4 linked regions of the Pelodiscus sinensis genome follow. The main gene of each other region encodes a partner of the protein of the gene in region 2 in a complex. Links are inferred from orthologs where the notes say so. Each region holds a gene or a part of one and is shown on either strand. Other genes may lie near its edges. The genes, in order: TARS1, EIF4E2, EIF4EBP1 and GIGYF1.

Region 1 (7,668 bases), on a different chromosome or scaffold from region 2:
GGGGCAGCCACCCCCTTTCATCTTTTCACCTGCCTGGTGATCCTGTCTCTTTTCTATATGGTTTTCTGAGAAGCAATCCTATTCCAGGCACACCCCATTTTCCTGACACGACTAGATCCTTACCTATGATAAGAGGACGTTGTATACCAAATTTGATATCCTAGCTCTTACTATTTAGGAGTTCTTGAATAGCCAGACTCTCTCTAATATATAGCTGATAATTAAATTAAGATATTTTTATGATCAACTCCTATTGAAATTTACAGACTTGTCCCCACATGTCAATGCAGGATAGTTTAAACTATGTGATGCGCTAGCAACCAATCATGCAAACATTTCATACATGTGAGTAATATTACTCATGTGCTTGATTTGTTTCCAACTCAACAAGTGTACTCACTTAGTAAAAGTTACTCTCATATTTATGTACCTACAGGATCCAGCACAAATAATGTTTTAATTTTAGAAATAGCATCTTCATAAGGCAAAGAATTAAGTTTTGAAATGAGAAAGCTGTTTAGTTTGAATCTACTATATATTTGACAGAGTTTGTCTCTGAGCAAGTGAGTCTATCTGTTCAAAGACTCCTCCTAAATGGTAAGAGCTAGGACCACTAAAATTGGTATATAGCTTCCTCTTGACATAACTTAAAGCAAGGTAAGGGTTTGGTTGTGCCAGGACAATGGATGTGCCTGGAATGCGATTGTTCTTCATAACACAGAAAGGGAGGGGCTGCTAGCAGGAATATTTATATTGTGTAATGACCACAGGGGGGAAACAAGGGACCAGAGATGGGGACCAGGACAGCTATAAGCCCATTGGGACAGCAGGAGGAAGAAGTAAGCCTCCCACCCACTTCTGGCTAGCACAGTCCCCGCCGTGGCCAGTCCTGGGAACCTGAACCCCAGGCAACATGGCTTGAGTTGGCTCCTGTGCTTTCCCACCGCCAGCCCTGAGCCCCTTCTGACCCCCCCAACTTTGAGTCCTGAACCCCTGACACCTTCAATCCCCTGCCCTGCACCCCCACACATCCCCAAGCTCCTGCCCTGAAGGACCCAAGGAATGTTAGGTAAATCTTCTGGTTTATAATAAAAACAAGATAGCCTTGAAGAAAATTAAGTTGTATTAAGAAATAAATAACCCACCATGCTAAGGACTATAAAAGATCACATATGCAAATTGCAGTAGCTGTTTCTGAAAGTGATAGCATAGATCATAGAAGTCAGTCATACCTAATTCCACAAGCAACTTGATAGGGAGTGGTCTTCCAGGATTCAGCATCAACCTGCTTGCCATCAGGTAATGTGACTTTAATGGGTTTACTGTCTTTTGCAGCTTTTTCTGCTAGAAGTGCATTATGTTCTGCTTTAAGTTTATGATACATCTCTAGGCGCTGATCGATATATTCAGGCCAAGGATTCAGCTACACATAAAAGAATGGATGGAAGGAGAAGTATTTATCAAAGACTTCCAGTTCTAATGTAAAATAAACTTGAAAATTAAGCAAAGGAAGTACATTTTCTGGAATCAGAATGTAATTGATTTTCAATGGACCAAGGAATCTAAGTCACTTGGGCCTGGGCGCTTATGACAGTTTTCCAAAGGAAGAGGGGCCAGGCTAGTTTCTTAGCAAAAAAAAAAAAAAAAAAAAAAAAAAAAACAGTTAATGCACTGCAACAACAGTTTGAGATGGACAAATTCTAACAGAGCTTAAAATATGCTGGAAAAAAAGACTGACATTATCATCACAGTAATAAATGAGAGCATGGGAAGAGTCTAAGAGCACAATACTGCAAAATTACAAGCATAAAACTTTTATACTTAAATATGCCAAGATCTCCTACTTTTGCCTCCTAGAAGTACAAATTCTGACTCAACCTTATAATAATAAATCAATCCTTCTAACATCCCAGCTAACCTGTATTGACACTCCATCTTCTCCATCCATCTTTACTTCCTTCCTTCTTCCATTTAACCTATTACCGACACTTTTACCTATTACCGACAGCGGGGATCCTCAGGAGTACAGGATCTGCCAAAAAAGCTCCCCGCTGTCGCGGCTAGACTTTACTTTCACTTTCAAAAGGGCGCTTGATCGGCACAGCACCCGAACATGAGTATGCAAATGAAGCCCAGGATATTTGAAGCCCAGACTCATTTGCACTTTCGAAGTGCTTGATTTGAATCCCTCTGTCTGCAGAAGGATGCAGTCTAAACGTAGCCTAGGTGTAGTGCACTGATGTCTTTGGTTTTTCATTCAGCAATGAAATTAAACTATTTAAAAACATATAAATGAACTGGAAATTCACCTCTGTGCAGCCTCCATCACCAGACCCTTCTTTGGTTTTCTTCTTTCCCCCTTCCTTCTTCTCTTCCCCAGCATGTATCTAAAAAAAAAGGTAAAATGAACTAATTTTATTGTACTCATCTTTCTCGAGGTCACGTTTTTACAGGTTGGACCTCCCTTGTCCAACCCCCTCAGGACTTGACCCATCCCGAATGAGGGAATTTGCAGGATATGGGGAGGTCCCTTGCCAATGGCCTCTCAGGACGCTCCCTCTCCCTGAAGTTGGCTCCGCGCCAGCCCCACTGCCACTGGGCTCCAGCCTGCAGGCCTTGGACATGGGTTCCCGCCTGCTGGAGCTCCCCAGGATGGAGCTCCCCAGCATCCACAGTCCTGCTTCTTCCCCGCCTTACTGAGGATCCCTACCTGGGACAAGGTTTGCCTATCCTGCTGCTGCCCTGCTGTCCAGAGCTTCCTGGGGACAGGGTTTGCCGGCTGGCCCACTTTTGCCACTCACCGGTCCCGTTACTGCTCTGTCCAGCCAGGGATCCCCGGGACAGAGCTGTCTAGCCTCTGTGGCCCTGTTTCTCCCCTTCCCGCCAGGGGATCCGCGCCAGGGATGGGGTTCATCGGTCCTGCTGCTGCCCCGGGGATGGAGGTCCCCAGCGTCCGTGGACATGCTTCGCTCCCACCTGACCAGGGCTCCCCAAGGATAAGGTTCACACTACAGATGTTAAATATCGGTTAACTGACTAATCGAGTAACCTTGTGCATTCTTATTGGTTAGTCGACTATTCTATAGTCCCTGGGGGCAGGCCAACAGCAGCGCAGGGTGCCAGGCAGGAGTTAGTCCACGAGAGGAGCCAGTTTAAAAACCCAAAACACCCAGCTCCTCTTGCAGACCAGCTGCTTGGCATCCTGTGCTGCTGCCTCTGATAAAGAAACAGCAATCCGGGGTGGCAGGTGAGCTCCCAAACCCAGCGCAAACTGGAACTAAGCCCGACTGCTTGCCCGCCTGGCTCCTAATACACTTTAAATGCAGAGCCACAGCGGGGGTAGGTCCTGGACCCAGCGGGAGCCGGAACTAAGCCGGGCTGCTGGCCAGACTACTAAAAAATGTAGTGGCTGTGGGGGGGGAGGGGGAAGTACTATGTACATAGTATATAGCATTAACTTATAAGCTTTTGCTTATCGGCTAGTTGACTACACTACTTCCTTTTTCTATACCCCGTAAAACACCTTGCTTATAGTTCTATGCTTTTTTTAAAGTCAGAGCTGTCCAGAGCTTAAAGTTGAACGTGGTGCATCCCATCACATTTAAATCACGGATTAAGAACCGGTAATTTAATGAGGAAAGTGAAACAACATTGGAAGAAAGGATAAAAACAGACAAGATAGTATCAGAGCTGTGTTAGTCTGAATCTGCAAAAGCGGCGAGGAGTCCTGTGAAACCACAGGCGCCACATGCATCTGACGAAGTGGGTCTTTGCCCACGAAAGCTTATGCTCCAGTTATGCTTATGCACTTCAGTTAGTCTATAAGGTGCCACAGGACTCCTCAGCGCTTTAACCGAGAAGATAGTTACTTGGTGGTTCGGTATATGCTGGTCATTTCCTGCATGCACTTTCTGGCACTGTTTCAGTTTCTTTTTTGAGTTCATCTGGCCAGATCCTGCATCAGATCAGTGCAGCTCTTGTGCCTGCACCGAGCCCCATGGACTTTATGGGGAACCAGGGCAGGAGAAGGGCAATTTAGACTGCCAGCTCTGCAGTGCAGGAAGCAGGGGGGCTGGCACAATGTGTACAGTGGGGGTGCTGAGAGTCACCGAACCAGCTGTACACCTTGAGTACAATGGAAACCACTGCAAGCCTCGGGATGCTGTAGCACTATCCCCCCAATCACACTCCCCTCCTTGCAGCCCCTATGGCAGGAGAAGGGAGCGCTGTGTGTGTGGGGGGGGGGGGACACCCGCCCCGCTGGCGCTGCCAGACCACACGCACCCAGCCACCCCAAAGGGCCGGCGGGGCTAAGACACCCGGCTGGAGCTAGAGGGCAACCGGCCACGGGGCCGGGTGGGGAGCAGAGGGAAGCAGCCAGTGTGTGACCCGGCCCCAAGGCGCAGGGGCTTTTCGGCCCGCGGTTCAAACCCAGCCCCAGGCCGGAGGGGCCGCGTGGAGAGCCCCGGAGACCGGCGCGGCGCTCACCTGGCTCCCGGCCCCCGCCATGCCGCTGCCCGTACTCGCTCCGCACGCAGGCCCAGCCGGCTCCGGCAGCTGATGCAACTGGGGGCGCGGCTGATCCCGCCTCCGACCGCGGGAAGCGGGCGGAGTTAGCAGCGCTGGGCCCCGCCTGGCTGGGCGCCGAGTGGGGACAGGGCCTGTCAAAGGGCGGGGCCATCGCTCCGCCCGGCCTGACGTGAGACCAGTGAGCTCCGCCGCGGGCGGCCCAGGACCAGCCCTCTGCCGCCTGGAGCGCGGCCCCGCCCTGCCGCGGGTGGGCCCGAGCGAGGAGCCGATGACCCGTAGGGAGCGTCGAGAGGATTGACTAGCCCACGTAGGCGGCCCTGCAACCCGCTACCAGCCATCCTTGCTGGGCTCCGCTTGCTAAGGGAGCGGCTTGAGTCCCCCCCCCCTCTGCCTTGTTCTCGCCGTCCCGGGCTTCCAGAGCTGAACTGCGATCCCAGCCCCGTTTGCTAAAAGGCCTGCCTGGCTGGTCCCCTTCGGACGCCCTCTTGCAGGGAGAGGGACTCCGGCTAGAGAGACGCGGTGGGCCTTGGCCTAATAGTTTTATTGGCCCCGCTGCTGAGAGACAAGTTTTCCTTCTCTGTCAAGTCTATCCACACCCGCCTCTTGGCTTCCGGAATGGGAACAGTCCTGACTCTCTGTTGCATCAGTTGGTAGAGCTGGCTAGGCCAGTTTGTAACCTCACCCTGGAACCTGGCTCTGTGCTGAAGACCTGAAGGAGTGCTCCCTGTGGCTTGGAAACTTCACTCTCACCAGCAGAAGTTGGTCCAATAAATGCTATTACCTTAGCCACTTTGTCTTTCTAATATCCTGAGACTGACATAGCTACAACTACTCTATGGCTGTGTCTACACTGGCATGAATTTCCGGAAATGCTTAAAACAGAATAGTTTTCGTTATAAGTATTTCCGGAAAAAGAGCGTCTACGTTGGCAGGCTGCTTTTCCGGAAAAGCCCTTTTTCCGGAAAAGCATCTGTGGCCAATGTAGACGCGCTTTTCCCGAAAAGAGCCCTGATTGTCATTTTCGCGATCGGGGCTTTTTTCCAGAAAAGACTACTGGGCTGTCTACACTGGCCCTTTTCCGGAACAGTGTTCCGGAATAAGGACTTATGCCCGAGTGGGAGCAGAATAGTTTCTCTGGAATAGTGGCTGATTTTGTACAGTAGAGCATTGTTGCTTTTCCGGAAATTCAAGGGCCAGTGTAGACAGCTCGCAGCTTATTCCGGAAAAGCGGCTGATTTTCTGGAATAAGTGGCCCAGTGTAGACACAGCCTATAAGACTAGGACTGTTCCTTTTTGAATGAGCACAACCATGGGCCTTGATTCTAAGCCCAAAGGGTGGGGGACAAAGGTGATTTACACCACTAGGATACTGGGTCTGCGAGAATGGCCAGTAGTATAAACTGGAGTGGTTCTGTTGTAATTCACACCTGAGCTGCAAAAGTCCACAAAGAAACATCCAGCAGTGTAGCTAGACTCCAGCTACACCAGTGGTCTCCAACCTTTTTAAGCACAAGATCATTTTTTGACTTTAAGTGCATCTCAAGATCTATCTCAAACCCAAATACCCTTGCCCCATCTCCTTTGTGCTCCTGCAAGGCCCCCTGCCCCTGCTCATTCCATCCTCCCTCCCCTGTCCTGCTTCACTTTCAACAGTCTGGTCCAGAGCCTGGAAGACCAATATGATGAACTGCATGTACATAGGAGTTCTAGCAGAAAAACGACAGGGAGCTGTACACGAACCTCAGTCTTCTCATACAGCAAACCCAAATGCTGGGGGACCCTGATTGACTTATTCATTTAAAAATCTGATTCCCTGCCATTTACAGTCCTTGAAGAACTCCATGGCAGCAGCTCATTACCTTTCCCAATATACTACATGACATCATGCTGCACATAAATATCCCTATATACTTCCTTTTATTTGTTTTAAACCTGCTACTTATTAATGTCATTTGGCAATACCCCCCAGTTTCTTGTGTTATGGGAACAAGTAAATAACTTTTCCTTATTTACTTTCTCAACACCAATCATGAATTTAAAGACCTCTGTCTGTCCTATTCCCCCTTAGTCATCTCTTTTCCAAGGTAAAATGTCCCAGCCTTTTTAATCTCTCCTCATATTGCAGTTGTTCCATACCCTAATCATTTTTGTTGCCCTTTCCTGAACTTTTTTATCTCATTTTTACCAATGCCAACATATCTTTTTGTGAGATAAGGTGGCCCCATCTGTACAGAGTATTCAAGATATAGGCATACCATCTATTTATATAAAGGCAATAATTGTATTTGCAATGCTCATTTCCTGATAATAGTGTAGTACTCAGTAGGCTCTATGCTTCTGTCAGAAATGGCAGACAGCAAAAAATTCCACATAGGTTTGTGAGATTTTTTTTTAAAAGGTACATAAATTATGGGATATGGGTGGCATTGCATGATGGAAAACTGACCCCTATTTCCAGAGATCCCTGAACAAGTGAATTTCCTTCCCACACCGTTCTGAAAAAAGTTCCTACGAGGAACTGCACCAGATTGTGCACCAGATAAGCACACGGATACCTACTCATGGTATACTGCATTTTGAATCAGCACAAGCATGCCACTTTTAAGGAAGTAGTGTTATTACATTGGTGTAATGGGGCATTTACATTAGCCAGAGATAGGCTTTAGTGTAGACATATGCACAAATAAGGTCCACACAAGACAAGGTATGTCAGCCTAACATTGTAATGTAGATCAGGCATGAGGGCTCAAAAGGTACCTCTTGCCCTGGAACCATAAAATAGGTGAAGGGTGGTTATGTAAGTCCTACATTGCACAGAGAATCTTTATTGTGTTGGCTGCTTTCTGGGCCCTTGCAACAATGATTTGGTGCTCTAGATTTTAGGTGTTACAGTCAGATAATAAAATTTACTGTACTAGGCAGTAGACCATGTTGAATGTTACAGACTTAATGAAAAGCTAAAAGACAAACAAAGGAGATTAACATTAGTAAACTTATACTAATCTTTATACAGACAAATAGGAAAAACAATCAATAAGGCCACTATCTAATAATTTAACCATAAATATGATCTTAAGAACATAAAATTTTTTGCAGTTTTAAAATTAAAAATGGGTTGAGAATTGCTTTGGATTTAAA
Region 2 (7,214 bases):
TGAGTATCTATTGCCAGACATAAGGAGGAATGGAAATGCTTCTTACATGCCATTACTTTCAAGCTGAGGGAGTTCTGTTTCCACTGCTACCATCAGTGAAGGCCCCACCCCTAGAACAAGGCAGGCAATGCTGCTTCCTGGTCTCTTTTAGGGCTGTCATCTATTGTAGGTGAATCAGAAGCCAACACTATGGCCACAGCAGATGAACTGTTTTCCTTTATGTTTTGTGAAAGGTATATAACCACAGAGAAAAGTCTACTCCCAGAACCTGCCCTATGTTTGGTCACTAAAATGGAACAACTGGAGTGTACTCACCGAGGCAAAAGTGCCAATCTGTTTGATGTTCTGTTCGTAGCTCTGAGAGCTGGTGGGTCTCCCAGGTGTTCGTCTGGAGTACCAGAACGTATAATTATACTGCAGGGGGTGCTCAGCCGGCCCTGGGACAACAGCCTGGGGAACAGAGAAGCTCATTTATCCTCTCACATGTCTCTCCAGGGAAGACTGAACAAGTAACATTCATAGCATTAGAAGCCCACACCATTAGACGCTCCCAATGTAAGATGAACGGTGTACCTCATTTTCCTAGAAAAATCTCATCTCACGTTAATAGCTTGACACAGACCATTAGTTTGACAGCAACTGACTAGATTTCATATCGAATATTAGACAGCCCTAGCACATTTGTTCCCCAATCTGGTAGGACTAGGTGCGCTAACGATGCTGCTGCTTACTCCCAAGAGGAACGTCTCTCAATAGAAAGTCCTCCTGACGATTGAGGAGCATTAACTCTGCATTAAATTCTCTTTAGTCCCTGGCAGCAAAGAAACGCAGACCATTTAAAAAGCCCACAGCTGATGTGGGAAAGTGATGGGAAGCTCCCCCACACCAAGACTTTCCAAAAAGCTGTCTGGGGAAGAGTCCAGCTTTGCTTTCCATCTCCATATGGACCACAATTTGCTATGCAAAGAGTTCTGGCTGCACTAGCAGAGAAAATACTTCAGCTTGGCTCATGTTCAGGTAACTCAAAGTCTATTTAACATGGCTCCCCATCACAATGCTATCACAGCACTAAGCCAGGACAGTATTCCTAGATATACTCCATACACTGAGACACATTGACCACAAGCAGATGCCAGAATTTCAAGCCTAAAATTGTCCCTTGATTATGGCAGGAGATGTCAAGAACTCACCTTCCTCTTGGTGCTACTCTGGGATTTGTCACGATCATTTTTCTCCTTCTCACCATCTTTCTGTGTGCTGTTCTCTTCGTTCTGGTCATGGTCCCCACTATCATCATCTTTCAAACTAACAAAGGCAAGGGACAAAGAATGAGCTTTATGGCTCCTGGCTGAGGTGCCATCCTACAAAATCAGACTTACATTACTTGACCCCTCCTCCAAGACACAAACCACTGGCAGAAAGGAGTCTATGTTGGAAGTCTACTGACGACAGATTCTTACACACGAGAAAGCCTACACGCCCTACACCTGTCTCAGACCACTTGGCCTACAGGCACCCCAAACTTAAGCATCAACTCTTAACAGGGAACTAAGCAAAGATATTTATAACATACACATCACTAAGGGGCCTATTCACCAACTAATACTGACAGCAATCAGCTAAAGAAGGGAAAAGAGGCCAAGTTCCTCAAGTCTCAGAAGGATAGCTGTGTTAATCTGTAAATTTAAAAGCAATGAATAGTGCTGTGGCACTTTAGAGACTAACAAAAATATAAAGACTCATGAGCTTTCATGGGTAAAACCCACTTCATCGCAAGAGCTCATGAGTCTATATATTTTTGTTAGTCTCTAAGGTGCCACAGGACTACCTGAGTTTCTAAAGGTATGTATACACCACAAATTCTACAGTGGCACACCTGCAGCTTTGCTGCATAGATACTTAGAGCCCTGCAAATCTGTGGACACCCACTTTATATCCACAGAGGTGGATGCAAATATCTACAGATCATTTTCGCAGCTGCAGATACAAATTAGGTATCCAGGCCAGGCTCTATAGATACTTACTGCAGCAATAGAAAGTGTTTTTTCCAATCACTGGAATAAATCTACTCCTTCAGGTTAATAAAAGAATTTTTCTGTCAACTTAGTGGTATCTACTCTGGGGATCGGGGCAGCATAACTAGCGATGTAAACTGTGGGTTAACCAGTTAAAGACTACGTCTAGCCGGTTAATCCTGGAGCAGCCCCCTGCCTGCGCCATGACGCTGTGAGTCAGGGGGAGAAGGAGGCCTGCTATGCTGCGCCACAGGCAGCGCTGCTCTGGCTGGACCCCAATTAGCCAGTCAGTAGGTAAGCTTACCAGTCAGGCTGATGCTCACCGGGTAACTGGTTAACCCTTTGCATCCCGAGCCTTCACTACAGCTCTCCAGGAGGTGACTTTTCCAGCCCCCGGGGCTGCCCTGCGCCTGGGCCCGCAGGGCGTGAGCGAGTCGAACCCCAAGGCGGATCTTGCACGGAACCGGCCTCCCAACGCTCCCGAGACCGGCACCGGGGCAAAGACCGGAGCGAGCCTCCGACCCGACACGCGCCTGGCGCGGGCTGCTGGCCCCGTCCCAGAGCGGGGGGGAGGGGGGTGACAGAGTCACGTGGGGCCTGGGGAAAGGCTCGTGGGGGGGCTGGGAACGGGCCTTGCCCGGGGGGGGGTCACTCGAGACAAGGCCCAGCAGCGCCCCGAGCCGCCTGCCCGCCGCTCCCGGACCCGCTCCCCGGCCAGAGGGAGCCGGGGCCCCCCCGCGCGTCCCGGTGACTCATCGCGTCTCGGGGCCCCCGGGGGGGGGACCGCGGCGCCGGGCCGGTCAGTCGGGCCGCAGCTCGGGGGGGGGGGGGCCTCAGACTCACGCGTCGAATTTGTTGTTCATCCTCGCTCGCCGCCTCCGCCCGTCTCTCCGGGGAACTTCCGCTCCGCGCCAGCCACCTTCCGCCACTTCCGGGCACGGAACCTGGCAGCGCGGCCGCGGGTTTCCGCCCGGCGCCATGGACGCGCGGGCCGTTCTCGCGAGACCACGCAGGGCGTCACAGCCACGGGTGGCCGGGCCGCCATCTTGAGCGTGGCGCGGTGGGCGGGGTTAGCCCGCGTGAAGGGCTCGTGCCCCGCGGGGTTCAGCCCCCAGGCACGTGGCGTCGCAGCGCCCATCTCCCACCCGCCACGTGACCCCGGGGCGCCTCAGTCCCATCAGCCCCCTCCCCGCCTCCCCCTCCTGGCCAGCCCCTTCCATCCCCCCCCCCCATGGCCAGCATCTTCCATCCCCCCCCCCCATGGCCAGCATCTTCCATCCCCCCCATGGCCAGCAACCCCCCCCATGGCCAGCATCTTCCATCCCCCCCCCATGGCCAGCATCTTCCATCCCCCCCATGGCCAGCAACCCCCCCCATGGCCAGCATCTTCCATCCCCCCCATGGCCAGCAACCCCCCCCCCATGGCCAGCATCTTCCATCCCCCCCATGGCCAGCAACCCCCCCCCCCATGGCCAGCATCTTCCATCCCCCCCATGGCCAGCATCTTCCATCCCCCCCATGGCCAGCAACCCCCCCCATGGCCAGCATCTTCCATCCCCCCCATGGCCAGCAACCCCCCCCCCCATGGCCAGCATCTTCCATCCCCCCCATGGCCAGCATCTTCCATCCCCCCCATGGCCAGCAACCCCCCCCATGGCCAGCATCTTCCATCCCCCCCATGGCCAGCAACCCCCCCCCCCCATGGCCAGCAACCCCCCTCCCCATGGCCAGCATCTTCCATCCCCCCCATGGCCAGCAACCCCCCCCCCATGGCCAGCATCTTCCATCCCCCCCATGGCCAGCATCTTCCATCCCCCCCATGGCCAGCAACCCCCCCCCATGGCCAGCATCTTCCATCCCCCCCATGGCCAGCAACCCCCCCCCCATGGCCAGCATCTTCCATCCCCCCCCATGGCCAGCAACCCCCCCCCATGGCCAGCATCTTCCATCCCCCCCATGGCCAGCAACCCCCCCCCATGGCCAGCATCTTCCATCCCCCCCCATGGCCAGCAACCCCCCCCCATGGCCAGCATCTTCTACCCCCCCCATGGCCAGCAACCCCCCCCCCATGGCCAGCATCTTCCATCCCCCCCCATGGCCAGCAACCCCCCCCCATGGCCAGCATCTTCCATCCCCCCCATGGCCAGCAACCCCCCCATGGCCAGCATCTTCCATCCCCCCCCCATGGCCAGCAACCCCCCCCCCATGGCCAGCATCTTCCATCCCCCCCATGGCCAGCAACCCCCCCCCCCATGGCCAGCATCTTTCATCCCCCCCATGGCCAGCAACCCCCCCCCATGGCCAGCAAACCCCCCCCCCATGGCCAGCATCTTCTATCCCCCCCACCCCCATGGCCACCATCTTCCATCCCCCACCAACGCCCATGGCAAGCATCTGCTCCCCCCAACCAGTAGGATGTATTCCTGTAGGTTTCCTCGAATAGCATCGTGTTAAGATTAATCAGTCTCCGAGGGGCAGGCGAGTTAGTCTGTCATTTTAACAACAGCGAGTGGTCCTGAGGCACCTGAGCGACTAACCAAAATAGATATCTATCATGAGCTTTCGTGCACACAACCCATTTCATCAGATGAAATGGTCTTGAAGAAGAGGGTTTTGCCCAAAAACGCTCATGATACTCTTTATATTTTTGTGAGTCTCTGAGGTGCCACAGGACGACTCATATTTAAAAGTTGTTTTTAAAGGTTAATCACTAATTCCTAGAGATGCCAGGACAATCCTAGAGTGTTGGCAACCCTGCCTGTATGTGTCCCCTAGTACCTCTCTCACACAGCACTGGCTGACACCGCTCCCCCGCCATCCACACACCCCTGTCTCCCACAACCCTGTGGGCAGGACCTGTCAGTAGAATGCTAACAAACACCTTAATCTACTTCCACACCCTTGTGTCTGGCCCTGATACAAAGTGGCAGGACTTTTACCATCTGTAGAGGGTGAAGGGTCCCTGACAGACCACTGTGTTTCATGTTTGGTCCAGGGGTAGCTGGGGCTTCGCGGAGCCAGGGTTATGGGCCTGGTTCACCATAGCCCCAACACCTGGCCATTCTGCAGTTCCTGGCAGGGGAAAAAAACAGAAAATACCGGATATTTTTAGGTGTCCGGTATTTTCTGAATTTTTTTCTTTACCAGACAGGAGGTGAAAATACCAGACACCTGGCAACCCTATTTCCCCCGCATTTCTTCAGCTATGCCCACCCCATCTGTGGGGCTGCAGGGAGCCCTTCTTGGGTTGGCTAAAACGCCCATTTACCAAACCAGGAGCAGGAAGTGCAGCTCGGAGGGTCTTTGCTACTGGGGCATGCATCGCGGTTCCTTACTGCTATGCAGGTGGTCTCTCCTGACTCCTTCGCGCAGCAGTGGGTGCTCTCCAGGGTTCTCTGCTCAGGATCCCTGTTTGCTTCCCCTATTTTGAATCTTTGACTTTCACTTCTGTCCTCTCCGACCCGCATCTGTTCTCTTTTCAGGCCCTGAGGTCCTCCCCAGATTGAGAAGCAATTAATTTGTTCTAGCTATAATTAGGCTCCCTGTTTTAGGATGCAAATCAGCCTATATTACCTGGCTGCAGTATGGGCCCCTGGGCAGTTGGACTAGTGTAGCTGCACCTGGCTCATGTTCTCTTCCTGCCCTTGAGGGCTGGCATTGAAAAAGACAGACCTAAATGTTCAAAGACCTGAAGCAGGCACTCCGACCACATGGTGCTGCCCTACATGCCTGTTCACTTCTAATCTCTCTTCCCCCTCTCAGCCCTGGAAGCCCTTCTTGGAAGTTGGGTTCAACACCAGAAAATATCAGATCACTTATTGAGGGGCTTAAATTTCTGCTCCTGGGGAGCAAATGCCTGCTGCCTTCAGGCTGACACTGGCCCCACGTCAGGCTTCTATATGGTTACAATATTTGCTAGCATAACAACTCAGGCCAGAACAAAAGACAGGACTATGCAGCACTTTAAAGACTAACAAGGTGGTTTATTAGGTGATGAGCTTTTGTGGGCACCTAAAACACCATCTTGTTAGTCTTAAAGTGCTGCATAGTTCTTTCTCTTGTTTCAGCATGATCAGACTAACACGGCTACATCTCTATTACAACTCAGGCCAGAAACACTTAAGCATGATTTTCTCAACCTCTTCACTTGAATTATCCAACAGCCAGATGAACTCTGCTAGATAATAAAGATTATCTTTGTTTTTCTTTCCAAATTCCATTTTATTTAATGGGTGTGTAATCTAATGAGTCAAGAAAATATATTTTTTTAAAATCTTATTTTTAATGAACAACCATGGCCATTAGATGGCGACATTGGCTTGCAATTACACTGACTATTATAACTGCCTATCTGGAGTAATGTGCAGTTCAGAGATGTTCCATTCACCAGCAGAAATTGGTCCAATCAAATATTTTACCTTACCCACCTTGTCTCTCTGAGAAGCCTTTTAAGAGCAGCCCTGGGTTTGGGGTAGCTCTGATGAAATTAGGGTTGTGTGAAACACTAATTTGGTTTGGTTTGGTGGCAGATCTGGGAGGAAAAATAATCAGGAACAGAATTTTGTCTCAGGGTAAGCTGAAATGAAAATGTGGAATTTTTGACAAGCTGCAATGTCTAAAAAAAGTTTTGTTTCACATCGCCCAAAATGAATTTTTTTTTTATTTCAATTTTCAGGCCTATTTTAAATTAAAAAAAATAAAATAAAATGGAGGGCATTGCCAAAGCAAAACACCTTTCCAAAACAAAAAGTCAACACATTTTTTTTTAAATGCTGAACAAACTCTTTTGACCTCCAGATTTTGTTTTAATTCTGACAAAAACAATGAGCTGTTCTAGACCCAGATCTGCAATTTGTGTTCATCCGCCCAAATCTTCAGTTTGCAATGGAAAAAGATTTTGTAATGGGAATGATTTTGCCCAGCAGGGGTGGATGAGAGTTTTGCGGGGCCCACAGCATGGGACCTATTGAAGCACGGGACCCAAGGCAGCACAATTTTGCCAACAGGTAGTAACGCATGCACGGGGCCTATTGAAGCGCAGGGCCCAGGGCAGCCGTACCGCTCGCCCTGCCTTATATCCGCAGCTGTTGCCCAGCTCTCCTTGTGCTGTCTTGGTCGCATATTTTGAAAAGCACCCCTGAATGCCCAGACTTCTGCTGACATTTTGGGTTCTTGGTGCTTCTGAGAGACACAGAGCCT
Region 3 (7,468 bases), on a different chromosome or scaffold from region 2:
GCACAGCGAGGTCTTGCCAACCCAAAGTCCATTAGCAATGGGTGGAAGGGGACAGGCACCGTACACTGCAGGAACATTCTTCATACTGGCAAATCCCTCTGCCAGCAACCAAACTGGGATGCTCAAAACCATCCGCTCTGAGCTCCTCACGGACAACAGCAGTCTACAGTGGAGGTGAGGGATGCCAGTGGTGCCTCTCAGGGTCACCTAAGGACGAGTGAATCCAGGTAGAGCTCCTCTGTCTTAGTGGAGCCATCCTACAGTCAGAACTGGGGAGCAAGCAGCAAAGAAGAGCTGCCTCGCATGTGTGCAGTGATTGAAAAACCAAACTGTTTCCCTTTCTTTCTGCAGTGTGAAGATTAGCCTATTGCAGAAAGCCTATTACAGAGCCTGCAGAAGCTTGGAGCTGTGAAGAGCATCCTAATCAGTGGTCTTTAATAAATCATTCAAAACCTTATAAGCTCACTGCAATAGTACTGACAAGAGACTAAAATGACTATTTCAGGTCTAGCTCTCTCATGTTCTCTGAGAAATCACATTCCAGTATCACCCCATAACTCATTTTCACTCAAGGTAAAGGAAGAAAACATATATTGAGCTGGCTTTGAACTTACCGAAATTAGGCAAACCACTTTTAAATTACAGGACAATGCTTTCTGAAAGCCATTTGTGCTTCCAAACTTCCTCAGCACTAGACTTGGGATATGTCTGTGCTACAGACACAGCTGCAGCTATGTTACTATCGTGAAGACAGTACCCCAATTAAAGATTCTGCCTTCAATCTAACAGTGTCTCTACCAGTGCTTAGGTTGGCTTAACTATGTCCCTCAGCTAGGTCAACCTAAAGTTTAGGTCTGTAGATCAGGCCTCTAATACACCAATGGAACCGTGATAATTTGCACCAATGGCTGAACCGGTTACTGCAGATTTCTGATTTTGGCACTAAATCCTGTATTCCCCACACAGTTCCACTGAAATCAATGGAACTGTTTGGGAGATTAAAGAGTATAATATTTGGCTCTTTAAAATTAGAAATGGGTGTTCCATGCCCTATTACATTTGCTCCTTTATTCTGAAGTGCAACCTGATGTATTGTTTACAATGCTTCACTGTACACGTGTTAATAAACAGTAACATTTTGCTAAAGGTTTTTACACCTAAACCTTTCAAACGAACAAGCATTTGTTTAACATAGGAATGCACCTGAGAACTGTCTCTGCTCCTGAAAGCTTACTGAACAGTGAAGTGCAATTGCCTTTTCATAATAATTATTTGGTTTATGGATCAGCACAGGAAAGATCTGTGTGGCTGATCCGTGTTAAGAACTGTTAGTATTTGCTTAATTCAAATTTTTTAAAGGGAGATTTGAAGGAATTTTATTTTAGAGTCTATTGACAGTAGTCTTGGGAAAGAGAGATTAAAACTCCATTGTTAATCATTCTAAGAATAGCCATGGGAACATAAACATATGGTAAGTACTAACAGCAATAAAATGTAAGTTAACAGATAAAAGCAGAACTGAAGTGCGATATGGAGCTTTTAAACTCACCCTAGTTTTTCAAATCTTAAAAACAAGCACACATTAAAATATTCATTCTCTGGATTATCCAAATCACTGAGAAACTAAACAGGATTCTTGAAAATAAAGGCTATTACTAGTGATTAGATATTTTGAGAAACGTCCTCTTTATCAGAGGCAGCTGCACAGGGTAACAGGCAGCCAGTCTGTGAGGGGAGCTGGTTTTTAAACTGGCTCCCCTCATAGACCAGCTCCCTCCTGGTACCCCACGCTTCTGCCTCTAATACAGTGGCTGCCGGCCCCACCCCCGGGGACTAGAGAATAGTCAACTAACGGATAAGAATTCATGAGGTGACTCGACTATTCGATTAACCGATACTTAGCATCCCTAACAAATATACTGCAGAACATGTATTGGAAAATAATCAGTTGATCCCAATTCTCCTAAACTTGTGACAATTGTTGCAAGAGGTGCCTAATGTTTAAGAATTCCTACTGCTTGCGCTCTCAGAGCACAAAATGGATACCTAGCACAACTGAAACTAAGACCTTCAGTTTCTGTGCCAAGACTCTCTCAGGCTAGCCCAACTGTTGTTGTTGTTTTTAAACACACCCATTTAATCTTCATACTTCTGTCTTTTTTTTTCTTTTTTTAAAAAAACTACTATTGTTACATGCACCTCCTAAGGTCACTTGACATGTAATATTAGTGAAAAAAAACCTCCTACCCACTTATTTACATTGTACATTTGACAGAACTTTGAATATATTCAATTCAGGGCTGGACTTAGGGAAACAGGTGTCCTGGGTGAACCAGTGTTTGGTGCTAACCCCCGTGGGCACAGCCCCGCCTGTTTCCCTCTGGCACCTACGAGCGCCCCAGTCTCGGGACCCCCAAACTATTGCCCCCTATCCCTGCGTCGGGCCCCCTTTGTCCCCAAGCTCTGCACAGTGCTCCCTCCCTCCCTCCCTCACCCGCCCCGCGACACCGCCTCCCTGCCGAGCGCCCTACGGGCTGGGGAAGTGGGTGCACACGAGGCAGCGGCGGGCAGGCGGGGGGGGGGGCTCTAAACGGGCCCCCTGGGCGCCCCCCCAAACATGCAGCGGGGCAAGTTCCAGCAGCGGCGCGTTCCCAACCCCCAGCCCCGTCCGGCCCCTCGCGCTCCGCTCACGGCTCCGCGGGGGGGGGGGGGGGGGAGGTCCCGCCCGGGGGGCCCCGCCCCACTCACCGCCCGGCGTGGTGCCGAACACGGTGCCCCCCGGCGTGGTGCTGTAGTGGCCGGGCGGCAGCGCGGCCCCGTCGGGCAGGCTGAGGCGCTTGGCGGGGATGGCCCGGCTCGGCGTGTGGCCCTGGCGGCAGCTCCCGGACATGGCGACTGGGGCTGCCCGAGCGCCGCGCGCCCCCTGCCCCGGCCCGCGCCCGCCCGGAAGCAGCCGGCGGCCACGCCCCTTCCGCCCCGCGCACGGCACCACGGCAACGGCGGCGCCTGAGGCCCCTCCCCTTCCCCTGCCACTGGCTACTCCTCAGCCCCGCCCCTCCTCCAACTGCCCCTCCCTCCTCCTCCAGCCCCGCCCCTTCCTATCCCACTGGCTACTCCTCAGCCCCGCCCCTCCTCCAACTGCCCCTCCCTCCTCCTCCAGCCCCGCCCCTTCCCATCCCACTGGCTGCTCCTCAGCCCCGCCCCTCCTCCAACTGCCCCTCCCTCCTCCTCCAGCCCCGCCCCTTCCCATCCCACTGGCTACTCCTCAGCCCCGCCCCTCCTCCAACTGCCCCTCCCTCCTCCTCCAGCCCCGCCCCTTCCCCTGCCACTGGCTACTCCTCAGCCCCGCCCCTCCTCCAACTGCCCCTCCCTCCTCCTCCAGCCCCGCCCCTTCCCCTGCCACTGGCTACTCCTCAGCCCCGCCCTCTCCTCCAACTGCCCCTCCCTCCTCCTCCAGCCCCGCCCCTTCCCCTGCCACTGGCTACTCCTCAGCCCCGCCCCTCCTCCAACTGCCCCTCCCTCCTCCTCCAGCCCCGCCCCTTCCCATCCCACTGGCTGCTCCTCAGCCCCGCCCCTCCTCCAACTGCCCCTCCCTCCTCCTCCAGCCCCGCCCCTTCCCATCCCACTGGCTGCTCCTCAGCCCCGCCCTCTCCTCCAACTGCCCCTCCCTCCTCCTCCAGCCCCGCCCCTTCCCATCCCACTGGCTACTCCTCAGCCCCGCCCCTCCTCCAACTGCCCCTCCCTCCTCCTCCAGCCCCGCCCCTTCCCATCCCACTGGCTACTCCTCAGCCCCGCCCCTCCTCCAACTGCCCCTCCCTCCTCCTCCAGCCCCGCCCCTTCCCATCCCACTGGCTGCTCCTCAGCCCCGCCCTCTCCTCCAACTGCCCCTCCCTCCTCCTCCAGCCCCGCCCCTTCCCATCCCACTGGCTGCTCCTCAGCCCCGCCCCTCCTCCAACTGCCCCTCCCTCCTCCTCCAGCCCCGCCCCTTCCCATCCCACTGGCTGCTCCTCAGCCCCGCCCCTCCTCCAACTGCCCCTCCCTCCTCCTCCAGCCCCGCCCCTTCCCATCCCACTGGCTGCTCCTCAGCCCCGCCCCTCCTCCAACTGCCCCTCCCTCCTCCTCCAGCCCCGCCCCTTCCCATCCCACTGGCTACTCCTCAGCCCCGCCCTCTCCTCCAACTGCCCCTCCCTCCTCCTCCAGCCCCGCCCCTTCCCATCCCACTGGCTGCTCCTCAGCCCCGCCCTCTCCTCCAACTGCCCCTCCCTCCTCCTCCAGCCCCGCCCCTTCCCATCCCACTGGCTGCTCCTCAGCCCCGCCCTCTCCTCCAACTGCCCCCCCTCCTCCTCCAGCCCCGCCCTCTCCTCCAACTGCCCCTCCCTCCTCCTCCAGCCCCGCCCTCTCCTCCCAGCCCCTCCCCTTCCCATCCCACTGGCTGCTCCTCAGCCCCGCCCTCTCCTCCAACTGCCCCCCCTCCTCCTCCAGCCCCGCCCTCTCCTCCAGCTGTCCCTCCCTCCTCCTCCAGCCCCGCCCTCTCCTCCCAGCCCCTCCCCTTCCCATCCCCCTTCCTCCCCTTGCTGCCAGTCCGTCCCCTCCCCATCCCCCTGCCCGTCAGCCTGCTCCTCTCCCCTGCCCCGGCTCCTCTTGCTGCCCCAGCCTCCCCCCAAGCGCCATGTCTCCCCTCCCCTCCCCTGCCCATTCTCCCCCCCGCAGATCACCCTTCCCTAATCACTCGTCCCCCTGCCCCCACTAGCCCTCGCCCCGTGCCAGTAGGACGCGTGGCAGCCTGCTGCTACTCTGCACGCCCAGTCCGGCCCAGGGGCTTTGTAGTCCCGGCAGACAAAGCAGGGCAAGGAAGGAAATACCTTTGGGCAATATGAATCATAGAATCATAGGACGGGAAGGGACCTCGAGAGGTCATCGAGTCCAGCCCCTCGCCCTCACGGCAGGTTTGGGAGCAGCCTCCCAGGCATTGCCATGGCCGTGGGCTGGTTTGGTGGTAGGGGGCTGAGAAAGGATTTCTGCGACAGAGGTTCTCCGCCTGTCCCACAGTGTGCTCCCATGTGATGAGCGCGTTGGGACCATTTCCCCTCTAACCGTGCCCCCACTCCTGCTACCCAGCTTCCTCCTGCAGCGGGGCACTTCACACCCTGCGTCCCTCCCGAGAAGGCAGCCACAGCAAGGGTGGTCCTCCTGGGAGGCCTTCAGCACCGCTCAAGACATTTGTGCAGTGATAGAATTCACAGCCTACTCCCCTGGGCGCTTGGCGGGTGATGAGTGTCACAAACGCGTGAACCTGCATTCCCGCTGAAAGCTCACCTGTCGAGGTGACGGGAGAGAGAGGCTGACACAAAGCACCACAAATGGCCCTTTCCGGAATTCCTGATTCAATATCAGCATCGTATGGAGTCAAACAAATGCCGCGACTCACACAAAAGGCAGTACCAGAGAGAGCGCCAGTCTTTCTCTCTCTCTGCCTCTGCATTTCATACAGTACTCACCACCACACTGTAGGAGGGTATTTTACCTCTGTATTTGGCGCGGGTGGGACGGCGGCTGCAATACTGTGTCCAGTTCTGGTTCCCATAGTTCAGCACAGATGTGGCTGCATTGGAGAGGGTTCAGAGACTAGCCAGGGGAACCATGAAAGGACGAGAAAGCATGCCTTGTAGTGAAAATCAATCCAGTGGCACCTTAAAAACTAACAGGGTTATTATGGTATATGCTTTCATGAAAGCGTATGCCATAATAAAATTCGTTTTTCTGCAAGTGTCACCAGATTCCTTGTTGTTTTGGTAGAAAGTAACAGAGCTACTCTTGATATTGTGTAGTGATAGACATATTTAGTTTTAAGAATGGGAAGGTTAAAGGGTAACTTTATTACAATCTAGAAATACCTATACAGAGAACAAATATTTAACAAGGGGCTCTTCAGTCTAGCAGTGAAAGATATTACATGATCCAAGGGCTGGAGGCTGAAGCAAGACTAATTCAGACTGGAAATCAGGTGTAATGGTGAAAGCAGTTAACCATTGGAACAATTTTAACCAGGGTCTTGGCAAATTCTCCATCACTACAATATTTATATCGCGGTCCAATATTTTTCTATGATCTACTCTAGGAATTAGTTCAGAGACGTTCTTTGGCTGGCTAGCTGCTTACAACAATCCCTTTGGAATCTCTGAATCAAAAGCAGGGATCCCACAACTCTGAACACTCACTTCAGATTGGATCTGGGTCAGACCCACATTCGATTCCAAGAATTGATGCCCCACAGATCTGTTACTGACCTAGTGGTTCCTAGTTTCAAGATAAATGCTGAGCATGGCTTAATGACACTGTGATGCAGACGTGGGGTTGTAAGTGCTCTGGAGGATAGGGTCAAAACTCAAAATGATCTGGACAAACTGGAGAAGTGATCTGAGGTCAATAGGATGAAATTCAACGAGGACTAATGCAAAGTGCTCCACTTAGGAAGGGACAATCAGTTGCACACATACAAAATGGGAAATGACTGTCTAGGGTCCTGCAGAAAGATGGGGGGGGGGGGGGGGGGAGGAGAGGGCAGTGTCACAGCAGATCACAAGCTAAATACGAGTGAATGGTGCAACACTGTTGCAAAAAAGCTCACACCATTTTGGGATGCGTTGGCAGGAGTGTTGCGAGCAAGACATGAGAAGTCATTCCTCTGCTTTATCCTGCGATGATTAGGCCTCAGTAGGACTGGTGTCCAGTTCTGGGTACCACCTTTCTGCAAAGATGTGGACAAATTGGAGAAAGTCCAGAGATGAGCGACCAAAAAGGATTAAAAGGTTATTTAGAAAACTTGATCTGTGAGGGAAGACTGAAAAAATTGGGTTTGTTTACTCTGGAAAAGAGAAGATGGAGAGGGGACATGCTCCAGTTTTTAAGTACATAGATGTAGCCTAAGGTGCCACAGGACTCCTTGTTGTTTTTTGTTTTGTGTGTGTTTGAGATAGGTGTATATGCCTGGATGTTAGCATGCAGGCATGTCAGTGTATATAGGTGTGTGAGCATGCACGGACACATGGGTATGTGTGTGTGGGTGCGCATACAGGTGTGTTTTGGGTGTAACTGTGTTGTTATTGAGTTTGGTCCCTTACCGTGAATGGCTGTGCACACACAAGTCCCAGAAGATGTGATGAGCAGCCGTGTGTAAGTCTGCAGTTTTGCTTGGTGTCCGGGTATGTCTAGGATTAAAGCTTTCTTGGCGCCCCCAGGTGACTAAGATGAACAGTGTTTGTGCGTTGGAGCAAAGTCACCCCTCTTGTGGTGAGTCATTTGGCAGCCACGATCTGCAGGACCACCCTGCCACTCCGATTCCAGCTCAGCCCTTCTCCCCAAGGGGCCGGTCCATCTGCAGGCCCCCTGCCCGCCTGCTGGCACTTTAGCAAGCTGATGAAAGGTTGGCCACATGTTTGTATTCATGCAAACGAGGTGATTCGTTAAA
Region 4 (7,545 bases), on a different chromosome or scaffold from region 2:
ACATAGCACAAATCGGAGAACTGACTGTCCCAGGTTTCCTGTATCAAGCCCAAATTTCTGCTTGATACGGAGCATATCATTTAGAAAGACACTCCCCAAACCCGATTCAAACTCCAGGAGCGGGAGAACCCACTCATCAGTTGCTGCAATGGGTCAGTTGCTGCAATAGGTTAATTTTAAGAATGTTGAAGAGCAGTTATTTGGCTAATTGTGTAGTCGATGCAATGTCAGCCCAGTAGCAGCCCCTGTTCGAGGCAGTTGGGACTGCTGCTGGAGAAGCCTCTGCCCATGGCCAGCCTGAGCCACTGCGAACAGGGACTGCTTTGCAGCACCAGCCCCTGTCTGCGAGGGAACAGGGACCCAGCTCTCCACTGGGACCCCAGAGGACAGGGACTGCTGCCAGACCAGTCTCAGCCCACAGCAGCCTCCCCTACACCACCCCCCTCCTGCTGCCTCTGACAGAAGCATCAAGGAGTGGGGGAAATGAGTAGTTGAGTAATTGACTTGACTACCTAATAAGCACAGCCTTATCAGGTAGTCGAATACTCAACTCCTCGATTATATCCCTAGTTAATTTCCCTCCCTGGTCCAAAGCTGTGACTTGTTTCTAGTGTGAATTAATCTCACTGCAGCTCCCCAGCACTGAGTCACCCTCAGAGAGCTCTCTCCCCACAATAGAGACCAGGATCAAGTCACCTTTTCATGGTCTCTTGGATTACTCCAAACCCAGCCCCAATGCAGATTTTAAAATTGCATTTCTGCCTCTCAGGGCAGCGAGATGACAACACTGAAATGCAGCATCTAAAGCTGGGAGACCAAGATCCCAGGTCTAAGCCCAGCCCTGCAGCAGAGCCCTGGTGACCATGTCTCCCAAGCTGTATTGAGGGAACAGACTTAGTAAACCACAGTCACTCTATCAAGCTGGCAGTTTTCAGGTGCCCCATTGGGGTCTAGTGGTTACACCCCTTTGACCAAGCATTCCTAGTAGTGAGTAATGTGACAGATGGCAGCAAAGCAGAGGCGGAGCGCACACAGGCTCTCATACTAGCCAGGACTTCATCTGGACCTCAGGATGACCAATGGGGAGCAGCCTGTAAGCTCTTCCAGCACAGGTTTGTATAGCACTTGTCCCAGAGGAAGCAACACCACTGCACTGGTATGCCAGGGTTCTCTCCCCAGCTCCGCCACCATCTGATTGCTTTCCCTTCACTGTGCTTCAGTTTGCCCTCACAACGTTAGGCCAAGCTATACAGGGTTCCTTGCATGCGAGGAGCCCCCTGCACAAAGGGCAGCCCCTGAGCTCACCCAGCAGGGGCCTGTGCACCACCTGGCACAACTGGGGGGCCCCTTGAGCTCAGTTGGCAGGAGGAGGCTATGCAGCACAGCTGTAATACAGGGCTCCCCCAAATCCCTGTTATTGTTATAATACAGCCAATGAATTCTGCACCTACTCTTATGCCAAGATATTTTATGCAGCGCCACATTTGTTTTCATGCTTTACACCCGCAACTCATTTTTCTGAAAGTCAGCCATGCCAGTGTTGTATAGCTCAGAAAGTTTCCTGCTGCCCTGAGCATCTACAAACTCGCTTGGGTACCTAGCCCCAGTGCAGAATAGAGCAGACACTTGAGTGGTGGGCAGAGACCCCAAGGGACCATTGTGAATATCTACTCTGACTCTCTGAAGGCAGACCCAAAGCAGGGTTTTCAGGAATACAGCCTGGAGAGTACACTCCAAAACCTTAGTATGTTGTCCCAATGAGTCATTACCCACCATGTCAAAAACGAACACCTTATTTCCAACAAGACCGTTCCCCCAGTTGGTCTTCCCAAGAACAACTTGTTCATACGTAAACTCCTTTGCCAGCTAAAAGTGTCTTTCATTCCCTCAGACAACAGCCACATCAGTGCCTAGCACAACAGGGGCCGACCCCTGATCTCATCTGGGTGGGTGGGGGTGTGCCTATGCAACATGTGGCACAACCAGGGACCACAATCTCAGTGCGACACCCAGCAAAACAGGGGACGTGATGTTTGATGTAACAGGCTTGGGGCTTTTCAATTCCATTGGCATCTCAATTCTTTCAGTAAATCCCTGCAACTATAGGTGAGACCTAGAAATTCATGCAAGAGCAAGGAGCCAACACATATCTAGGCAAAAAGGCAGAGGCTGGCTAGACTGCCAGTTGTGCAGAAGGGCAGCAAGACAACCAGCACCCACGACACACGTCCCTGCAATGGAAGGTAGCTAGAGAAATACCCCACACACACAGCCTGGGAAAGGGAGCCTGAACAACAAGAAACAAGGGGGCTTCTGAGGCCCCCCACAACGAGTCCCTCCCCCCAATTTGTCCACCAGCCCTGGAATGGGAAAGTGGGGTAACAAGAAAAGTTTGACACAGCAATGTCTGGGCCAATTCTACAGCCACAGTCAGGAAAGGGGACCAACCCAGAAGATCAATGCACATCCCTGGGCAGAGGGGAACCAATGCACAGCACTTGGGGGGCAGAGGCGCATCCTTGAGGGAAGGGGGCAGGCAGGGGTCTGCACAGCATCCGCAAGGAGGCAGCCCCACCCCTAGCACTCCACTTCCAGGAACATTTGCGTAGGAGGGGGGTGAGCCGGGACAGCACCCCCACACCCGAGGGCTGGCACCAAACACCCCTCAGCCGATTCCCCCAAGGGTTCCCCCTTCCCTGCCCTCCCGATGGCACCCCACTGTCCGCCTCCCAGGGCTTTGCGGGCATGTCGAGGAGGGGCCGCCCCAACCCCTCCGCGGGGCCCGGCCCGGGATTTCTAGGGCCCCCTCCCCACGGTATCTCCATAGCGACGGGCCGGGTAAGGAAGGGCCCCGTGTCTCACCGCGGCGCCCAGCGGGGGGCGGGGCCTGGCGCGGAGGGGGCGGGGCCTAGCCGCGCGCGCGGCAGGAAGGCGGGGGGGGGACTCCGGGTCTCTCGCCGCCGCCGCCGCCTATCGCCGCTTGTTTGTGTTTGTACCAAGATGGCGGCACGGAGCCCCGTCACGTGACGAGGGAACGCGGAGGGGGAGCTCAAGGGCCCACGTGACACAGGAGCTCGGCCGCAGGAGGAGGGTGTCACGTGATGGGGTGGAGCCCGCAGAGGAGGGGGAAGCGCGGGAGCCACATGACAGGGGAGAAGCCAAATTGCCGCCCGGCTCGCGTGACCCCGCGCTTCGCTATGGCCGCGCGCGTATCTCTCCTTCCCCACCCCCTCCCGGCGCCACCATAGTCCTGCGCAGGGAGGCTAAAGCAGCCCCCGCGCCACAGCGTCACGTGACGGACGACGGCCTTGGCCCGACGTACTACCCAGGTCACGCGTTCGGGTCACGTGACGATCCCTTCACAAAACGATGGACCCCCTCCTTAGAAGACGGTGACGTCACCACTCTCCCGAACTGTGAGGTCACCAGTCGGCTTTACCACCAAGACCTGTGGTGCAATTGTCACACACTGTGTCCATGTGATGTCACTACGAGCCCTATGACATCATCAATCTCACGTGATGTCATCACATGGCTTTCTGCTGTCACTGTCCTGCCCTGTGATCTCATCTGCACCATGTCATTGCTTCACCAGATAACGTCTCCAGAAGGCAGTGTGATGTCCTTGTGTCACCTTGCGATGTCAACCCCAGCCCTGTGTTGTCACTATCTCAGCAGCTGCCATTGTGTCACGCTGCCTCAGTAAATAGGGTTACCAGATGGCTTAACAAAAAATACTGAACACCCCCCCCCAAAAAAATAAAACACCAGGGAAAAATTCTATTGAGAAAAAAAAGGGGGAGACCAAAGTTGTTGAGCAAAAAAATTTTTTTTTAATTAAAAAAAAAGTGTGACCCCTTTAAGAAATTCTTTTGAGGCTTTTTGGCCCTAATAGGCTGCTGGCGGCCACCCACCATCTTGTCTTCCTGCTCCGGGCCGGACAGCTCCCCTGCGGAACCTGGTAAGCACCTGGGATTTTCGCCTTCTGTCCGGGAAAAAAAAATCAGAAAATACCAGACATTTTAGGTGTCTGGTATTTTCTGAATTTTTTTACTGGACAGGAGGTGAAAATACCGGACGGTCCGTGTCAATACCGGACACCTGGCAACCCTATCAGTAAAAAGTGCCACCACCTGGCCCCGCTGCCTAGGTCACTATCTCAGGACACTGAGTTATTCCTCAGTCTACCATAGCCCCACATACTCCTCCTGGCAACTCCTGATGGTGCATGATGATATTGTGGCATTATGCTGCAATGTGAGACTATGATGTCACCAAATGCAGCCACAAAGTCACTGGGGTGTCCAGTGACCAAACACAGCTTCCAGCATATCAACAGCAGAAGGCCCTGATGTCAAACACAATGCTGAGAGGTTACATCTACCCTACGATATCATCAACGGAAAAACATCATCCCACAGTGCACCTGTGACAACACAAGACCATGTTGTCATTGTGTAGGAACATGATGGCATCATCTCACATCCAGGCACCACGATGACCATCATGACTGTGGCTGGAGTCTCTTTGCCTGCTTGCAGAATCAACTAGCTTGTTACATCACATCTCCACATTCAGGAGAGAGAACCCAGGAGTCTGCCTCCCTGTTCTACCCACCAGCCTCCACTCCCCACTCAGAGCTGGACAGAAAACCCAGGAGTCCTGGCTCCCAAGCCCACAGCTCTAACCGTCCAGCCCCCTAGAAAGATGTAGAAAGGAGGAATAATAAACACCGACAAAAAATGTAACTGGATCTTTACTGGGTGATTTTGAGTGGAGCTGCCAAAAGTTACTCACATTATTCAGTGAGGGCAGAAAATGGAGGTTTAATAATTTAGGGGTTGCTGGAATGGCCAGGGCTATTGTAGCTGGAGTGCAAGAGAAACAGAGAGGGGCTAAGTGGTAGCTCCCCCTGCCCTGTCCCCCATGGGCTCCAGAGGAATGTGGAATCAGGAGTAGGCCGCATGTTCCAGTCCCTGCTAGGCTGAGGATCCATTGGGATCGGGGTCTCCTTCGACTTGCCCCTCATCATGGGGCTGGCGCTTGGCGAAAGTGCCCTTGACTGATCCCTCCACAGCGGCTTTGAGCTGGTTGGGGGACAGAGGCAGCACGTCAGGGACACACCCCACACCATCACCTCTCAGCCCCCAAATCCCTGAACCCCCTCATTTCCCATAACCCCCACCTGCTGCCCCGGCTCCTTCCTTGAATTTCTTGAACCCCAAAGACTCTCCCTGACCCAGTAGACCCTGCAACCTGCCCCCTATGTTCCTCATGAGCTCCCTGACCTCTCCAGGATCCATGCAACAGCCCTGTGCTCCCCACCCCATGCCCCCCTGTGCCTCCCACCCTTCAGCCCTACCTCTCGGAGGCTGACCACACCAACCAGCTGGCCCATGTTGGTGACGTATGCTGTCCGCAGTCCCAGCAGGTTAAAGAGGTCATAACACTGTGGAGCAGAAATGGGTGTGTGCATGTCAGGAGACAAACTGAGGAGGGGAGGATGGATCAAAATAGGGTAGGGTTAGGGATCAGCCCTCACTGAGACTGCAGGACAGTGGGGCTGGGGGGGGGGGGGGCTCTTGGCAGCAGGTGGCACATTATCAGGGGGTGACAATGTGGGGATTCTATTCGCTCTGTTCACTTTGTTATGTTGCATGTGATTTCCATTGTCCTGTACTGTTCTGTAGTAACTCTGTGTGTGCATGCTTCAGTTTCTCTAGGCACTGCACCAGTGCCCCGATGGAGATGGGAATTTTGGGTGTGACTCTCACTGAGGGGAGGCTGCCCCAGGCTGCCCAGGCAAGCACATTCACAATGGCCAAGAGTCCCTGGAACATGAGGTGAAAACAAGGGACACCTTTTGCCTGAGAAGCTGGACAAAGGAGGAAGTGGGACTGCCAGTAAGGCAGGGACCAGTAGCTAAGTGTGTGAATTAGTCTCTGCTGGCTTAAGAGACAGGGAGGGGACCCAGGGCCCTGGCTCTGGGCCTCCCTCTCCCTAAGACAAATTGTATTGGCTGCTTCTGGTTCCTGGGGTAACAAGTCTGTTTTACAATGTGTCCCTGTGAACTAATACATTATCTGTTCTACCTGCTGGCGGAGAGTCATGTCTGGCTGCGGATGGGGATTCAGGGCCCAGTGGCTCCCTGTACCTCAGTGATGGGGAGGGGGGCAGGGGGGAGAGGACCAAAATGACATGCAAATGAGTATTGCTTATTGAGTATGCAAATAAGTCTCCACTTATACTGTTCATATGCAAATGAGCAAGCAACTCAAATGTGCAGACAGTGCTCATTTGCATATGCAAATGCACAACCCCTCCCACCTAAGTTTCCAGTAAGCTGCATGGCTGCATGATGGCATAGCTGTTTTCTGAGCTCTGCTCAGAAGTTTAAAGCTCTCATGCAGGCAAGAAGCTCAGCTGACCGGCAGGGGAAATATGTCATCTTGCTGAGCAAACAGTTAAACTGGGCTGTTCCATGCTTGAAATGGAGCAGCTCCCAGAGCAGGTAATAAAAAGTGAGATAAGGAGACAATAAGTGACTGGGGGGGGGGAGTGAGTGAGTGGGTGGGTGGGTGGGTAATTGGCTGAAGTGGAGTCAGAGCAGAGGAAAGTTTGGAGAGTCCAATCCGCCCCAGGAGAGAAAGGCAGGAACTCAGCACTCTCAAGCCTCCTGAGAAAGGAGATATGGGGCTGGCTGCATAAGATGAGTGTTTGTACCAGAATACTTGCATGGCTATGTCTAGACTGGCATGATTTTCCACAAATGCTATTAACGGAAACGTTTTTCCGTTAAAAGCATTTGCGGAAAAGAGCGTCTAGATTGGCACGGACGCTTTTCCGCAAAAGCACTTTTTGTGGAAAAGCGTCCATGCCAATCTATATGTGGTTTTGCACAAGAAAGCCCCGATCGCCATTTTCGCCATAGGGGCTTTTTTGTGCAAAACAGTTTTTAGCTGTCTACACTGGCCCTCTTGCACAAAAACATTTCTGGAAAAGGGCTTTTGCCCGAACGGGAACGTCAAAGCATTTGCGCAAGAAGCACTGATTTCGGACAGTAGAACATCAGTGCTTTTGCGCAAAATCAAGCAGCCAGTGTAGACAGCTGGCAAGTTTTTGCGCAAAAGCAAGTGCTTTTGCGGAAAAACTTGCCAGTCTAGATGCAGCCGCATGAGTACATTTCAAACAAAGTTTACCTAGGTGTTAATGGCTTAAGGTAAGAATAAAAAAATCTATTAAAATATTTTATAAGTGTTGCATATATCTAAAACTCTGAATTTAATTATTTTTTTAAATCCTGTGTTGCTAATTAATACATGAAAAATTGTATTGCATTAAGGCCAGATCTTTGCTATGTGGTAGAGTTCTGGAAGATCGCATCTTCCCATCCTGATTGCATATGCAAACTGACATGCCAGACCCTCCCACCTGATTGACTATGCAAATTTACTAAGATCCACCACCAAATTTAATATGCAAATATACCTGCCACCTTCTCCCACCCTAACTGCATGCACAAATGGATGTCAGCCCTTCCTTCCC

The links.
Region 1: the proteins of EIF4E2 (region 2) and TARS1 are in contact, whole or in part, in a crystal structure (PDB 5XLN), measured with the Homo sapiens proteins. The link is inferred for Pelodiscus sinensis from reciprocal best matches to the Homo sapiens genes EIF4E2 and TARS1. Residues at the interface, in NP_004837.1 of Homo sapiens: His54, Pro55, Leu56, Gln57, Val91, Glu92, Phe94, Trp95, Arg96, Glu149, Asn150, Leu153, Leu156, Gly157, Glu158, Gln159, Met161, Val203; in NP_001245366.1 of Homo sapiens: Pro51, Glu52, Tyr53, Ile54, Tyr55, Thr56, Arg57, Met60, Tyr61, Ile63, Leu64, Glu67.
Region 3: the proteins of EIF4E2 (region 2) and EIF4EBP1 are in contact, whole or in part, in a crystal structure (PDB 5NVN), measured with the Homo sapiens proteins. The link is inferred for Pelodiscus sinensis from reciprocal best matches to the Homo sapiens genes EIF4E2 and EIF4EBP1. Residues at the interface, in NP_004837.1 of Homo sapiens: Glu53, His54, Pro55, Leu56, Gln57, Tyr58, Tyr64, Arg66, Lys83, Gln84, Ile85, Gly86, Val91, Glu92, Gln93, Trp95, Arg96, Phe97, Ser99, His100, Met101, Val102, Leu107, Phe113, Glu149, Asn150, Leu153, Gly157, Glu158, Gln159; in NP_004086.1 of Homo sapiens: Arg51, Ile52, Ile53, Tyr54, Asp55, Arg56, Phe58, Leu59, Met60, Cys62, Arg63, Ser65, Val67, Thr68, Lys69, Thr70, Pro71, Pro72, Asp74, Leu75, Pro76, Ile78, Pro79, Gly80, Val81, Thr82, Ser83.
Region 4: the proteins of EIF4E2 (region 2) and GIGYF1 are in contact, whole or in part, in a crystal structure (PDB 5NVK), measured with the Homo sapiens proteins. The link is inferred for Pelodiscus sinensis from reciprocal best matches to the Homo sapiens genes EIF4E2 and GIGYF1. Residues at the interface, in NP_004837.1 of Homo sapiens: His54, Pro55, Leu56, Gln57, Tyr64, Lys83, Gln84, Ile85, Gly86, Val91, Glu92, Trp95, Arg96, Phe97, Tyr98, Ser99, His100, Met101, Val102, Arg103, Leu107, Phe113, Ile137, Arg138, Leu139, Arg140, Gly142, Leu143, Ser145, Arg146; in NP_001362694.1 of Homo sapiens: Leu36, Ala37, Asp38, Tyr39, Arg40, Tyr41, Gly42, Arg43, Met46, Leu47, Leu49, Tyr50, Glu53, Asn54, Lys55, Val56, Pro57, Glu59, Leu60, Glu64, Phe65, Ala67, Val68, Leu69, Gln70, Asp71, Glu72, Pro73, Leu74, Gln75.

Annotation. Positions count from the first base shown.
Region 1 is NC_134716.1:107,887,922-107,895,589, forward strand, and holds the start of TARS1 (threonine--tRNA ligase 1, cytoplasmic), read right to left. Parts: upstream 3,006-7,668; 5' UTR 2,964-3,005; coding exon 2,802-2,963; intron 2,388-2,801; coding exon 2,310-2,387; intron 1,424-2,309; coding exon 1,233-1,423; intron 1-1,232. UniProt on the Homo sapiens protein: Catalyzes the attachment of threonine to tRNA(Thr) in a two-step reaction: threonine is first activated by ATP to form Thr-AMP and then transferred to the acceptor end of tRNA(Thr).
Region 2 is NC_134720.1:49,306,351-49,313,564, reverse strand, and holds the start of EIF4E2 (eukaryotic translation initiation factor 4E type 2), read right to left. Parts: upstream 3,012-7,214; 5' UTR 2,996-3,011; coding exon 2,859-2,995; intron 1,306-2,858; coding exon 1,191-1,305; intron 451-1,190; coding exon 316-450; intron 1-315. UniProt on the Homo sapiens protein: Recognizes and binds the 7-methylguanosine-containing mRNA cap during an early step in the initiation. Acts as a repressor of translation initiation.
Region 3 is NC_134738.1:15,247,697-15,255,164, reverse strand, and holds the start of EIF4EBP1 (eukaryotic translation initiation factor 4E-binding protein 1), read right to left. Parts: upstream 3,007-7,468; 5' UTR 2,891-3,006; coding exon 2,749-2,890; intron 1-2,748. UniProt on the Homo sapiens protein: Repressor of translation initiation that regulates EIF4E activity by preventing its assembly into the eIF4F complex: hypophosphorylated form competes with EIF4G1/EIF4G3 and strongly binds to EIF4E, leading to repress translation.
Region 4 is NC_134734.1:8,963,627-8,971,171, reverse strand, and holds the start of GIGYF1 (GRB10-interacting GYF protein 1), read right to left. Parts: upstream 3,010-7,545; 5' UTR 2,863-3,009; intron 1-2,862. Other genes in the region: chloride channel protein ClC-Kb-like, read right to left, coding at 4,980-5,087, 5,363-5,449. UniProt on the Homo sapiens protein: May act cooperatively with GRB10 to regulate tyrosine kinase receptor signaling. May increase IGF1 receptor phosphorylation under IGF1 stimulation as well as phosphorylation of IRS1 and SHC1.